3 linked regions of the Callithrix jacchus genome follow. The protein of the gene in region 1 interacts with the protein of each later gene in a biochemical or structural test. Links are inferred from orthologs where the notes say so. Each region holds a gene or a part of one and is shown on either strand. Other genes may lie near its edges.

Evidence for each region.
Region 2: the proteins of FGFR2 (region 1) and FGF10 are reported together in a solved structure, tested with the Homo sapiens proteins (3 studies listed by BioGRID and IntAct, with this or other methods). The link is inferred for Callithrix jacchus from reciprocal best matches to the Homo sapiens genes FGFR2 and FGF10.
Region 3: the proteins of FGFR2 (region 1) and FGF7 form a complex in vitro, tested with the Homo sapiens proteins (3 studies listed by BioGRID). The link is inferred for Callithrix jacchus from reciprocal best matches to the Homo sapiens genes FGFR2 and FGF7.

The regions. Positions count from the first base shown.
Region 1 is NC_133513.1:115,004,692-115,011,538, forward strand, and holds the start of FGFR2 (fibroblast growth factor receptor 2), read right to left. Parts: upstream 4,381-6,847; 5' UTR 3,904-4,380; intron 2,582-3,903; exon of another isoform or gene 2,192-2,581; intron 2,038-2,191; exon of another isoform or gene 1,611-2,037; intron 760-1,610; exon of another isoform or gene 85-759; intron 1-84. UniProt on the Homo sapiens protein: Tyrosine-protein kinase that acts as a cell-surface receptor for fibroblast growth factors and plays an essential role in the regulation of cell proliferation, differentiation, migration and apoptosis, and in the regulation of embryonic development.
Region 2 is NC_133503.1:161,144,264-161,147,763, reverse strand, and holds part of FGF10 (fibroblast growth factor 10), read right to left. Parts: intron 1,947-3,500; coding exon 1,843-1,946; intron 1-1,842. UniProt on the Homo sapiens protein: Plays an important role in the regulation of embryonic development, cell proliferation and cell differentiation. Required for normal branching morphogenesis. May play a role in wound healing.
Region 3 is NC_133509.1:37,194,339-37,197,260, forward strand, and holds part of FGF7 (fibroblast growth factor 7), read left to right. Parts: intron 1-938; coding exon 939-1,133; 3' UTR 1,134-2,922. UniProt on the Homo sapiens protein: Plays an important role in the regulation of embryonic development, cell proliferation and cell differentiation. Required for normal branching morphogenesis. Growth factor active on keratinocytes.

The sequences.
Region 1 (6,847 bases):
AGTGGGATAAAACCATTTTTCAGCCTCTCGAATGCGTGCAAACACAGTTCTTTTTCATTATCTGCAAAAGCCTTCCATCCTCACCTCAGAATCCCAGGTGATTCCACCAGACCGGTCCACAGAAATGTGTTAGGCTAATCTTTTTGAAAGCATACTTTTAAGAAACAGAGATAAAACCGTAGCTACAGGACTCAGATACGTGCAGCCACTTCAGTGAGGCAACGTGTGGGCTCTTCTACTATCCACTATCGCCTCCACCGCCCTCAACGAGCGAAGCAATGTGACCTCAGTTTCAAGGGCAACCACAAAAGCAAGTTAAAAATGCTCGGGTTGGCATAACCAACTTCGTTCCCTTCTCTCAGTCCAGCTGGGCTTTAGAAAGCTAAACTGTTGGAGGCATCTGCTCACAGCTCCCTATTTCTGCTGGGCTGGAGCGGAGCTGAGCTGAGCCGTCTGTCCCACCCTCACTGGAGCTCTCGGGAAGAAAGGAGATCAGCAAAATCAAAAGAATCCCAGGAAGGCTACAGAAAATTCCCACCAGTTTACACTTGTCAGGATTCATTTTCGAATGGAGAAGTGTATTTCAGTCTTCCGCCAAGCAGCCACTTACGAAGAGTGAACACAACTGCGGCGCATTCAACGCAGCTGATCTAAAAGGGACTTTGAAGCCTGAATTCCCTTCCCCTGGGACCAAATGGCAGTCCCGGCCTGTGAAATGTCTTCAACCTCTGTAGAAGGATTAGGAAACTGAGCAGATGCAAATTCTGATGAATAACGCAGGAATTTATTAATAATGATGATGTAAATTACAGTCATGGCCTGTGATTGGACCAATAACTTTCAATATGCTCACCTATTGGCTAAATTTTCAGAGTATAGTTAGAAGAGGACACTCAAATTACTATTCTGTTCTGTTCACCCATTTGATCCAGGGAAAGAGAATTTTCCAAGCTTCATATATTCCAAATAACTTTAATTTCACTCAGTTCCCTCTGTGACTAAGTGTAGTGTCAAAATGCACAAACTTTAGAAAATAATTAAAACAATCACAAGAAGAGATACATCAAACTCAGGCTTCAGAATCTGTGAACCGCAGGAATGAACCACATTTATAAGACTGGGGGTTGGAGAGAGGCCTTTAATACAAAAATCTCTAAACTCCACATTTTTTATGTACCCACTGGATTTCAAGTTATGACATAGGATTTCAGCACTGCTGAAGCCTCCCCAAATCTCATCAGAAAAACTGCTCCTTTTAGCTTTTTTGTGACGATAAAAATGGATGAGGAAAAAGAATATGCCACACCATTTCCAAAGGAGGAATAAAGAAAACCTCTGCTTCAAAGGTAGCACAGGTGAAACGGTGTGATTCACAGCAAAAGCAAGAAAAGTATGTGTGCAGCTTGTGTGTCTACACAGTGCGTGTGTGTGCATGGTGTGTACGTGTGCTTTCAGATTGCTCGAAGGATTTTTCCTCCTAACTTTTCTTTCCTCTTAAAGTCAAGAGCCTGAAAAGATAATTTCAGATCTATTTCTACATACATGTGGGAGGAAAGTACACATTCTCATTGATTTACTAAGCATTTCCAGAATGCAGGGGAATTTTCTACCTTTAACACGACTTCAGGAACAATCCTGAGTCCTGGCAGAGGTTTCGCCCCAGGCTCCTTCCCCAGCCTCCTCGCCCACCTGTCCATGCCAGAGGAACCTTGTTAGCTTCAGGCAGAGAAAGGTGGACAGGGCCGTCCACTGAATCTCAAGCCATTCCAACATCCCGCTAGCCCGCACTGGAGATTTGCATTTCAGCCATTTCCAGGTCCAAGCTCCACAGCAGCCCCCTCCCCAAACCTCTGGAAGGTGGAGACCTAAGGCGACAGGTCTTCACAGTTCCTCACCGAGTGGACAAAAGTATGGTACGACCTCCTAGGCAGGATAATTAGGTCCCCAGGCTCGGTGTTGGGAACACAGGCCCAGCATGCCGCTGGCGGCCACAATCCCGGCTTCCTGCCTTCAATACCATAATCCTTCCTGGAGTCTGAGCCCCAGTGAAAGCCCCAGCGTGTTTATTTTTCCCCTTGAAAGGGAACTCTCTTCTCAGCCCGCACGCGGGAGGCGTTGTCACCCTCCCTCTGATGGATGGCTCTTCTCGGCCGCCCGCCCCCCACCCTCCCTCCACCCCGTCCATTTTCACCTCGGCACAAGCCTGCCCCCAAAGACAGGCAGAGTGACAAGCAGGAAGGGCTTGGCTGCGGAGTGGTCCCCATGCCAGGCCTGTGCTGCACTCTTCAATTTTACCATATTTCCAAAATCCCGACCCTCTAAGAAGGCAGGCCAGTACAGAGCCCTCCGCTTTGGGCTTCCACGTAAGAGGTGATAGGTCCACTGCTGGCTCGGCCACAGGGAACACTGCTGTTTTGTTCCTGGGTAGATTTCACATCAGGAAAGTCACAGTGCCCGGCTCCTCCAAAGCGCAGACCCATCTCTTCGCTTAAGGCCTCCCTACCTCTTCCCAGCTGAGGAGGAAAGGGAGCTGTCAAGGGGTCAAGTCTAGGGGAGAAATTCCTCAACAAATCGAAATCTCAAAAATCACAAACTGGGCCAGGACCCCAATACCCTCCCAGTTTCATGCTTGCGTCCAATCAGAACTCGCAGGCAGCTTGGGGGTGCTCCCCACCACCACCCCTTTCGGGACAGCACTTCTTTCATTTGTTTGCCCGAAATATCCTGTTTTTCTCCCCCTTCTCGGGGCGCTAAAGAGCTCAGAGAAATCTGCATTTTAATTGACATTCCAGGGAGAGGGAGAGGGGCGCCTGATTGCTTTTCTATTCAAACTAAACAGGCTTTTCAGATGAAAATGAGTCGAGGCCGGTGGAAGATTTACACGGATTTGGGACCCGGGGACAATGAAGTTTTAAATGTTGATAGCATTTCACACCAAACACATAATGGGTGCCCTGAGTTTCAAAGCAGGTTTGCCTTTAACGGTAGGTTTGATTGAATTGGGAGAAAGGAAAGAAGGTCTGGAGAACGGTTTGCAAGGGAGCGGGCTGTGAGGGGAGCGACCGAGGCTAGTGGCCCCCGGGCCGGCCTCCTGCGCCAGGTCCGCGGGCCGCGAGGGTCGGAGCCAGCGCCACGCAGGGCCCTCGGCTGATTTCCCCAGCGCGGCCCAGTCGCCGAAAGAATGAGCGCGCAAGTTAGAACTCGCCTGCGCTTTCGACATCTCCCAGCCGCTGCGGCAGAGCAGGCAGGCGAACTAGAAAAAGTCGGTCCAGTTCGCCCCCTAGCCCCAGGCGCGCTGCGCTCCCTCCAGCGCCTACAGCGGCTGCGGGCTAGGGGCGCCCAGGCATCGAAAACCGGGCACCGGAGCCGCCGCCTCCCCAACAGTGCCACGCCTGGCCATCACCACCCCTACGGGATGTCAGCGGCCCCACCCCAGCTGCCCCCTCCCGAGACAGGGGTCTCCGCGGGGCCTGGATGGTACGGAAGCTCCCAGGACCCGCGGATGGGGCACCTCGGAGATGCTCCGCGGGACCCGGGCTGCGGGGCTGTGCCATCGGCAGGCGAACCCTCCGCCCGTCTGCTCTGGGGTTGGAGGAACGCGCCCAGCCAGAGGGAAAGCGCCCGCCAGGGTTTGACAGGGAGGGGGGCGTCTGCACCAGAGGCAGATGTCAGCATCTGGATGAAGGTGGCAAAGGCAGAACTTCCCCAACAAGGGCCGTCAGCACGCACCCACCTCCCCATCACCTATGCAGCCACCTAGGAAGGCCAGGGGGCGTCCCCCACAATGCCAGTCCTTCCGCGCCCCCCGCCCGGAGGACGCTGCACCCGACGTCCCGGGCTCCCTTGGCGCTCACTTCCCCCGCTGGCGGAGAAGCTCCCAGAGGCGTCTTCCGCGGCGATTACCTTGAATGGCAACGCTCCTCCGCGATCTGTGTTGTCCCCGCGCCCCGCGTGGGTCGGGATGGAGAAAGCGACGAGCCCGGGGTTGCGGGGAGCAACTCCAAAAGCAGAAGAGGGATCCCCAGGTCTTCGCCCGCGCCAAGGCTCCCGGACTTCACGCGCACCACAGGCTGCGGAGGAGCGCGGGCATGACGCTTGCGGGCTGCCCTCGGATTTGGGGAGCCACAGGAAGAAAGGACTCAGGCTTGGCGTTGCCTCCACCAAACTTTGCTCGCGAGTTGCGAAGGCTCAGAGCGCGCAGGCAAGCTGCGGCCTCTGGGCCCCCGGGGCGCGCGGCCGGCCCCCGCCAGCCCGGAGAGCAGTCCCCGCGCCTGGCCAGGTACGCCGCATGCAGCCCCGCGGCGCCCGAGCTTTGTGGCTGCCGCGCGCGCTCGCTCGTCCGCTCCGCACCCACCGCCCGCCCGCTCGGCTCTCCACCGCGCTCTCCTGCGGCCGCCGCCCGCGCCGCCGCCGCCGCCTCCTCCCGGCGGGTCACGCCCCCGCTGAAACCCGAGCCGTTTCCTGGACGGCGGCGCCCGCTCTGCCAATCAGCGCCGCGCACCCGGGCCGCCCCGAGCCCCGCGCGGCTCACGACGCCTCCGAGCCCTCGCCCGAGACACGGGCCGGGGAGGCGAGGGCCCAGCCGCGATCCGGCCGTGGGGATGCAGCGACAGCCTCCGAATAAGGCCTGGTCCCGCGCCCCGCGCGACCTCCTCCCTCTTCCTCGGGCGAGCGCGGCTGGCCAGCGGCTCCCGGAGCGGCCGCGTTAAGTACAAGTGACCGAAGGCTCTAACCCTGCCCACCCCCTAAAGAGACTTTAAAATGGGTCTGCTTTTGGTACTGCGGGGAGGGTTGTCAGGCAACTGAAGCTTTCGGAGGAGAGGAAGCAGCCTGGAAATGTTCGCAGGACATTGCATTTTTCTGTCTTTCTAAACAACAGAAATGAGAGGAAAAAACTGAATATTAATGGGGGCCCTACTATGGGCGGGTCACACTACATAGGTGATTCTATTTCGCCTGCCCAACCACCCTGCAGAGTAATATTCCCAGTTTCTGATAAGGAAACTGAAGATCAGAGATGTTCAGTAATTTGCCTAGGATCACACAGCTGGCTATTGAGAGAGCCTGACTTTGAATGTGGCTCTCTCAGAAAAAGCCAAAAATTGCATTCAAAAAAATAAGTGTTTAGTAGTATATGTTTGGATTAATTAAAAGAAATTCAAAGAAGTCTAAAGATTCAACTCTGCCATAAGTAGCTGATCTTGAGCAAGCTAATTCCTCCCTCTGAATCCTAGATTCAAAATCATAAATGCAAAATCTGATTCTTCAAGTCCACACCAAGCTGTAACTGGCTAAAGTTCCTATTTCCATTTACCCTTTTCCCTAAGCCGTGTCTTCGGATTCATTCATTTTAAATATGCTTTTTCTTCCTCCTTATTCATCCAGCTCCAGAGCAGCCGTGCTCGGTTCAAGACGGTATAGATTAAAACCTTAATTATTTTTCTTTAGAAAAGGTCACTAAACCCAGAAATGCTTTAGAATCCTTTTGAGGCCTGAAGATAGATGAAGCATTGAGAACAAACCTGACTTGGAAAACAGACTTTTCCTGCCCTTAGAAACATATTTGCACCTGCGTCACTAGCATTGCATACTTCCTAACATTTACAAAAATTTTTTTTCAAGGTGCCACATGATTAGAAAATCATTTTTATTCACAGTATAGCACAGAAAACATTGATGCGAGTTACTTAAAAGCCACACGACAAATCAATCCCTTTAACTGCCTCACGCAAAAGGCTGTAATATTGGATTTGGGGAGTTTGATGGCAACAAAATAAAAACTGGCTCTTAAACAAAATGATGCCTCCATATGCTTGGTGGGAGGGTGTTTTTGGTCGGGGCCTCTAACCTGAATCAGTCCCAGAGCCTATATTAACAGACACCTCAGGACAGGTGACACTTAGCCATTCACTGCCACCTGGGTTGTTCTGAACCTAGCAGTATGTTTTCAAGTTCTCAGAAAAGGGATGCAGCTGAATGTGTCTGCCTGCTTTCAGGCTGCCTCTTACATCTTTACATTCCCCTCCAATGGGAAACTCAAAATATCTCAGGACAGATTCCTTTCCCATCCTGCACCGTATCCATCAGCCATTGAAAATGCTGTTAACACATTCTCACATAAATTAATGGTGCAGGAAGCCACTGTCCCTATCCCCATTCATCAATAGCTTTATGCACACTGAATGGAAGGAAGCCTTCCACTGAAAATGACAAATAAGAACACCTACTCTAATGTCCAGGCACAGTTTGCAGAATGTATTTTTTATGGAGATGAAAAGACACCCATCTATCAAAAGCTCCTTATTCCCTAAAGAGTGCTAATTTCTAAGGGAGTGAAACCCACAAGCCCACAACAGCAAACTCTTCAGTTTTGAAAAAAAAACAACAACAACACACAAAAGCATGTTTAGGATTATTTTTTAAAAATCAATTCTGTCCTCATATGTAGTCTTGAAGTGACCTCCAACAGTCCAGGAAAACCTTCACACCAGCGAGACTTCTGAATGAGAAAATAATCTCTTTACAGTTTTTTTTTTTTTCCTTTTTCTCTTCCCTCTTCAAGTGGCTGGAACCCCTTTCGTCAATGGCCTCCCATGAATGGTGTTGCTAATAAAGCCTATTAATGAGCTTCCACCGCGGAGTGTGAATAGGTAAATAAGCCCCAATCTGCTGAGGTTCTGGGGCAAGGGCAGAAAAGCCAGTCAGAACTAAAGGTGACAGTTTGAACTGAACTGCGAACGCCAGCACCAGGTTTCAGCTGAAAGAACCGCCAGACAAGGACACATTCACAGTCCCTCCACCCCCTACCGAGGCCTCTTTTCTTCACAGTTTTCCCCCCTTTACAAAA
Region 2 (3,500 bases), on another chromosome or scaffold:
TTAGGGGAGCAATGGTAATGGAAAAATTTTAGCAAAATTTCTCTGACCCCCATGCAAAAAAGTATTTATGCTAGTCCCAGGGACCAACTCAAAGCATGCCTGACTCCCCAGTTAAAAATGGACCTGATATTAGTAAAATGCAAGGCTACTCTATGTCCAGACCAGTGGTTCTCAAAGTGTGGTTACTACACCAGCAGCATCAGGAACACCTAGGACCATGTCAGAAACTGAAATTCTTGAACCGCACCACAGACTTACTGAATCAGAAAATATGGCTGTGGGTCCCATTATTATGTCTTTTAATAAGCCCTTCTGCTGATTCTGATGCATAATCAAGTTTGAGAGCTGCTGGCTCTAAATGGTCACTACCAGCAGCCTTATGCTAATTAACATAGTATGTTTATTTACAAATTTAAAGTGAAATTGCATTTTGATTACGTAAAAGTGTAAAAATGACAGGATCTGTTTAGAAAAGATATAAAATTATTTAAGAGATTTGTGTCACTGGTTTATTTCTGGCCATATATATTATTGCATGTCCTCCAAAAAATGCAATTGAAATTTTTCCAAGTTTATAGCTGCCTTCAATATACTCCCCTGGAGTAGAATCCAGAGGGAAAAAATGAAATTCAGTTAGCATTCCATTGATCTACCTCTGGGAGGGACACAATGAAAAATATCCACGCACAAACTAATATACTCCTGTCATCATTCAAATGACAGCTAAGAGATTGAAACTTTGTTCCCAGCTTTATCATAAGGCTACTTTACTATACCTGATCTTTTCTTGCATGTAAGAAATATAGCATGTAATCATGCTATAATTATTTCATATTTGTTAACATTTTCCCCTAAATATAAATTATTTGAAGTCAGGGCCCATTTCTGTATTTCTTTCTTGTACATCTTTGATATACAAAGATGTCAAACAGTATCTAGCATATAGTAGATTTTAATATGATTGACTGTTGTGTTTTTTTCTAAGGACTTGAACAAGATAAATTGTCTCACTGCTTGTAATTTGTTATTACAATTGCAATTATAAAACAACTATTTGTTATTTTAAGTAAGATCTTAAATTTCTAAAAATTGGTTTAAATGAGTTTGATCCAAGATTGAAGTGGTATTCCAAATACTTAACATTTGGTATGGAATACAGGTGTGGATGTGTCCAAAGCACTGCAGGGATACCTGCTCCATACCCTATTGCAAGGAATATTTCCATATATATATATATATATATACACACACACACATACACATACATACACACACATACATATGTGTGTGTGTGTGTGTGTGTGTGATTTTTGAGGCATAATTTGAATTAATGGTTATTGTCTAGGTAAATAAAATTCTAGAGTTGATTGAACAACATGCAAAATAGTGTTTCTGATATGTTTCCCCATTTCAGATTTTAACAAAATGCAAAACATCTGAGCCCTTGTTTTATCTTCGGCCATAACACACACATAATACATGGGTTTCTACTCAATTCAAGATCTTTGTTTTTATTATTTTTTTTCTCGAAGTTGTCTGCAATTCCCATGCCAATCTGACCAGATGCTTCCGTGAGAGCCTGAGTTGGTTAGCAGTTTAGAACATTCACATACAAATGCCAGCAGCAGCCTGTGTGGTGGACTAATGGGTGAACAACAGAGGAGATTACAGAATTGGAAAAGATGCTTTGCCAGCCCTTGAAACGATGGTGACGGAACCACTGTGGCTCTATTTACTAGCAATAGAAGGATAACAAAGCTATTCAATGTCTGGAGGAAACATTCCAAAAACCGTGGTAATGATGTTCTGCAGTGGATTTGAAAACAAAAGCAGAATACTTACTGAGCCATAGAGTTTCCCCTTCTTGTTCATGGCTAAGTAATAGTTGCTGTTAATGGCTTTCACAGCAACAACTCCGATTTCTACTGATGTTATCTCCAGTATGCCTAAAACATACAATTTTAAAAGGGTAAATATAGAGAATCCTAAATACATTTGGGAAAAAAAAAGTAAAATCAAAAGAAACTATCGAGGTTTTGTTTTGTTTTTGTTTTTGTTTTTGGTGGTTCTAAAATCAAAAGGCTTAAAACATTGGTAAATAAACAAGCGAACCTTTTTTCAATGTGTTTTAAAACCCAGCAAAAGTATTCCCAGCAAATATATGGAGAAAAGTAATACGGCTTTAAAAGAATTCCCCTTCATTTTACTCTGAGCATACATAGAAAAATATTGTTTTAATTAAAATGCTTCCTTTGCTAACTCTGCATTTTCAACCCTATAAATATTGAAACAACTCTACTCATCTTAGCCTAGATTTCAAAATAACTTATCAGAGCCCATATCTGTGGTATTAAATTAAATCTATAGCACATGTCAATAATATGCCCGATTACCTCAATCTGTAAAAACAGTGGTAAACTATTTCTTCTTTGTAGTACATAGATAAACTCAATCTCTTGGCTGCATTTAACTGATAAATTCATTGTTGGCAAATGTGTTGACATTCTGAGATACAGAGAGACTAATCCCAATATCTACACTGTCTCTGAAATAGCGGAATCACTGCTCTTTCATGTTAGAGGAAAATCCACCAACATGGATTTTTAAAGTTTTTTTTCCCTAGGAAAAATGAAATTCAGGGAAGTAGTAAGAGATAGACAAGAGTTCCTTTTCCCCTTATACACAAGTTTTGATTGCTGCATCTAAAGATAATTTTCTTGGAAAAGTTTGTAGATCACTATAGGGAAGGCAGTTTATACTCTGCTCAAAGTGCTTACTCATTTTAGTTTAAGAAGACCTAAGGAACTAAAACTACTTATTTCATAACTCTCAGCAAAGTTTGTTCAGGGTAGAGAAGTAGCATTGTGATTAGCATGTGGCCTCTGGAGCCAAAATGTCCAGGTTTAACTACTGGCTCTACATTTATTAGTGAATTACCACAGGAGAAGTTACTGAACTCTCCCGTGACTCAATTTTATCTGTAAAATGGGCAACATAATAGTACCTCCCTCATAATTTTGTTGTGAATATTAAATGATATAGTACCTTTAAAATTATTAGAATTTGCCTGGAGCTTAGTATCTTCTTAATTATCATTAGAGGGGAGTTTTCTCCAACAGTTCTAGATTTTGGAAATTCTTCAGTGGGCTATGTAAATCCTGAACAATACATACAAATTCACATTGGCTTAGTACATAAAATATGAAAGTTGAGCATGTTATCATTTGTCATGTATCATGAGAAACACCATCCTAAATGTAGTCTACAGATTATATGTTTACACTCTGCCCGTAGACATAGAGTGGCTTAGCTTATTCTCAAGAGATGCATACCTTTGCTCCTATTCCTTCACAGGTTAGCCTTGCAAAGGCTAATAGAAATGCTTGAGTTTCCCTATTGCAAAGTTGACATGACCAGAGACTGCCAAGACTAAATGTCAGAAAGCCTTCTGTCTGTGTATCTGTAGGAAGTCTTTGGCCTAACACAGCACTCCTTTTCAT
Region 3 (2,922 bases), on another chromosome or scaffold:
ATTAAGAAAAAATGTTTTCGGTGTGACTTTGGAGAAATAGCCTGTTCTTTAGTCTTTGGTTTCTTCGTCTATAAAATGAGTTGAATTAACTGACCTCTAAGGATCCTTCCAGCTCTAAAATTCCATGTGCATTTTAGATATTTAAAATCCAAAATTTCCATTTGCTAGTATTAAAGCTCTTTTTGTTAAAGTTCACCCAATTTGCAAATTGCTGACATGAAAATTCTTGGGAAAAAATATCCTGAAGTGTTTAGTTCATTTATCAACATCAATCTCACAACCATGGGCTTTGAACTTTAATTATTCACATTGTTCCCACTTCACTACAATGCAAAATATGTAACAGTTCATCCCACTATAATAAAATATAATTGGCTTTCCTTTGTATTCACAGCTCAGCATAATGCCTGGCACAGACTAATTATATAATAATATAGGTTTAACTGAATGAAAAAATGGTTGCATGGATGAACATACAAATTAACCTTTTATCTTCCATTACCATTGGAGACAATATAAAAGTAAATAAAGAAAAGTTGTGAAACAAGTCTCTCACCTGAGGGAGGCAGAGGTTCTGCTAGCTACACCAAATTCCCAGTGGTTAAACAATGAGTGATGTGGGAATAGTAATATGAGGCCTGCTACTTAGGAAAATAGGTCCTAATTTTAAAGAACAGTTGACATGTACTGCCAAAAAGCTACACATATTTCATAACCAACTGTGTATTATGTTGTTTTTCTGTTTTAAATTTAAGATACCTTTCTATGCAAACATACTACATAGGTATTGCTAATAAACCACATTAGACCTGCTCCACCTGAGGGTTAAAAAAACTCATGTATGTTTCAATTCTACCAAATATTACCTGCTTACTCTCTGTTTAAATTGAGCCCCTCTACAAATCATTTGGATAATGTTTGTTTGTTTGTTTTAACAGAAAGACTGCAATGAAGATTGTAACTTCAAAGAACTAATTTTAGAAAACCACTACAACACATATGCATCAGCTAAATGGACACACAATGGAGGGGAAATGTTTGTTGCCTTAAATCAAAAGGGGATTCCTGTAAGAGGAAAAAAAACGAAGAAAGAACAAAAAACAGCCCACTTTCTTCCTATGGCAATAACTTAATTGTATATGGTATATAAAGAAACAATTCCAGCAGGGAGTTCTTTAAGTGGACTGTTTTCTTTCTTTTCAAAATTTTCTTTCCTTTTATTTTTTAGTAACCAAGAAAGGCTGGAAAACTACTGAAAAACTGATCAAGCTGGACTTGCGCATTTATGTTTAAGACACTGCATTAAAGTAAGATTTGAAAAGTATACACAAAAATCTGATTTAGTAACTAAAGGTTGTAAAAAATTGTAAAACTGGTTGTACAATCATGGTGTTAGTAATAGTCATTTTTTCTTAAATTAATTTACCCTTAAGAGTATGTTAGATTTGATCTGATAATTATTTAAATATTCCTATCTGCTTAAAAAATGGCTGCTATAATAATAATAATGCAGATTATGTTATATAAGATATGTCAGACCTAAAGGCTGTTGGCAGGATTTGTCAGATAATCAAGCCACATTAACTATGGAAGATGAACAGTATTTTAAATGCTTTCTAATAAAAAATTATAATCCACTTAAACTCTAATCAGAAAAAAAATCCTCAAAAATAATCTATTATTAAAGTCAATAAAATAGATGATTTAACCAAAGTATAGGATTAGAACATGCTTATACCTATTAACAAGAACAAAATTCCTAATGCTTCTCAAGTGGAAAAGGCATTGCTAAAAGGATGTTTCCAAAAATCTTGTATATAAAATAGTAACAGTGATTGAGGATAATACTGTACTTCATGTCACTTGCCACAAAATTAACATTTTATAATTCCTCCAGGTAAAACTGAGAAATCCTTAAGTTTTTTTCAAGTAACATAATCTATCTTTGTATAATTCATCTTTGGGAATATGGCTTTTAATAATGTTCTTCCCACAAATAATCATGCTTTTTTCCTATGGTTACAGCATTAAACTCTATTTTAAGTTGTATTTGAACTTTACTGTTTTGTTATTTAAGTTTATGTTATTTATAAAAAAAAAAACAACCTTAATAAGCTGTATCTGTTTCATATGCTTTCAATTTTAAAGGAATAACAACACTGTCTGGCTCAACTGCAAGTTTCCCTCCCGCTTTGTGACTGACATCAAGTCTAGCACATAGCACTTGGGCCAGCAAATCTTGGAAGGCAGACAAAAATGAGAGCCTGAAGCAATGCTTACAATAAATGTCTGACACGGAACAATACAAATATGTAAAAAATCTTTGCCACATTTTCCTAACAATTAATTGGATCATATAAGTAAAGGCATTACAAATAAAAGAATTTATAGGATTTTAAAGTTAGAATATATTTGAATGCATGAATAGAAAAGTATCTTATTTTAAAACTATGTATATTTAAATGCAGTAATTTTCTAATCTTTAGAAATCTCTGCTATTCAAAAGGTGGCAGCACTGGAAGTTGTTTTCCTGTTAGATGGCAAGAGCACAATGCCCAAAATAGAAGATACAGTTAGGAATAAGGGGCCCTGAATGTCATGAAGGCTTGAGGGCAGCCTACAGGTAACAGGATTATTACAAAGATGAATTTCCACTTCAAAATTCTTTCATAGGTAGATCTTGGTAGCACTTTATATGTTCACCAATAGGAAGTCAACATTTATCTAAATTAAAAGGTATGCTAACCATTGTGGTTTTAATTTCAAAATATTTGTCATTCAAGTCCCTTTACATAAATAGTATTTGGTAATACATTTATAAATGAGAGATATATGAATATACTATGTCAAAAGAAACAATAGATTCATTTGATTTTCTTGTGGTTCACAGGCTGTAAGAAATTAGAAAAAAATTGCCCATCC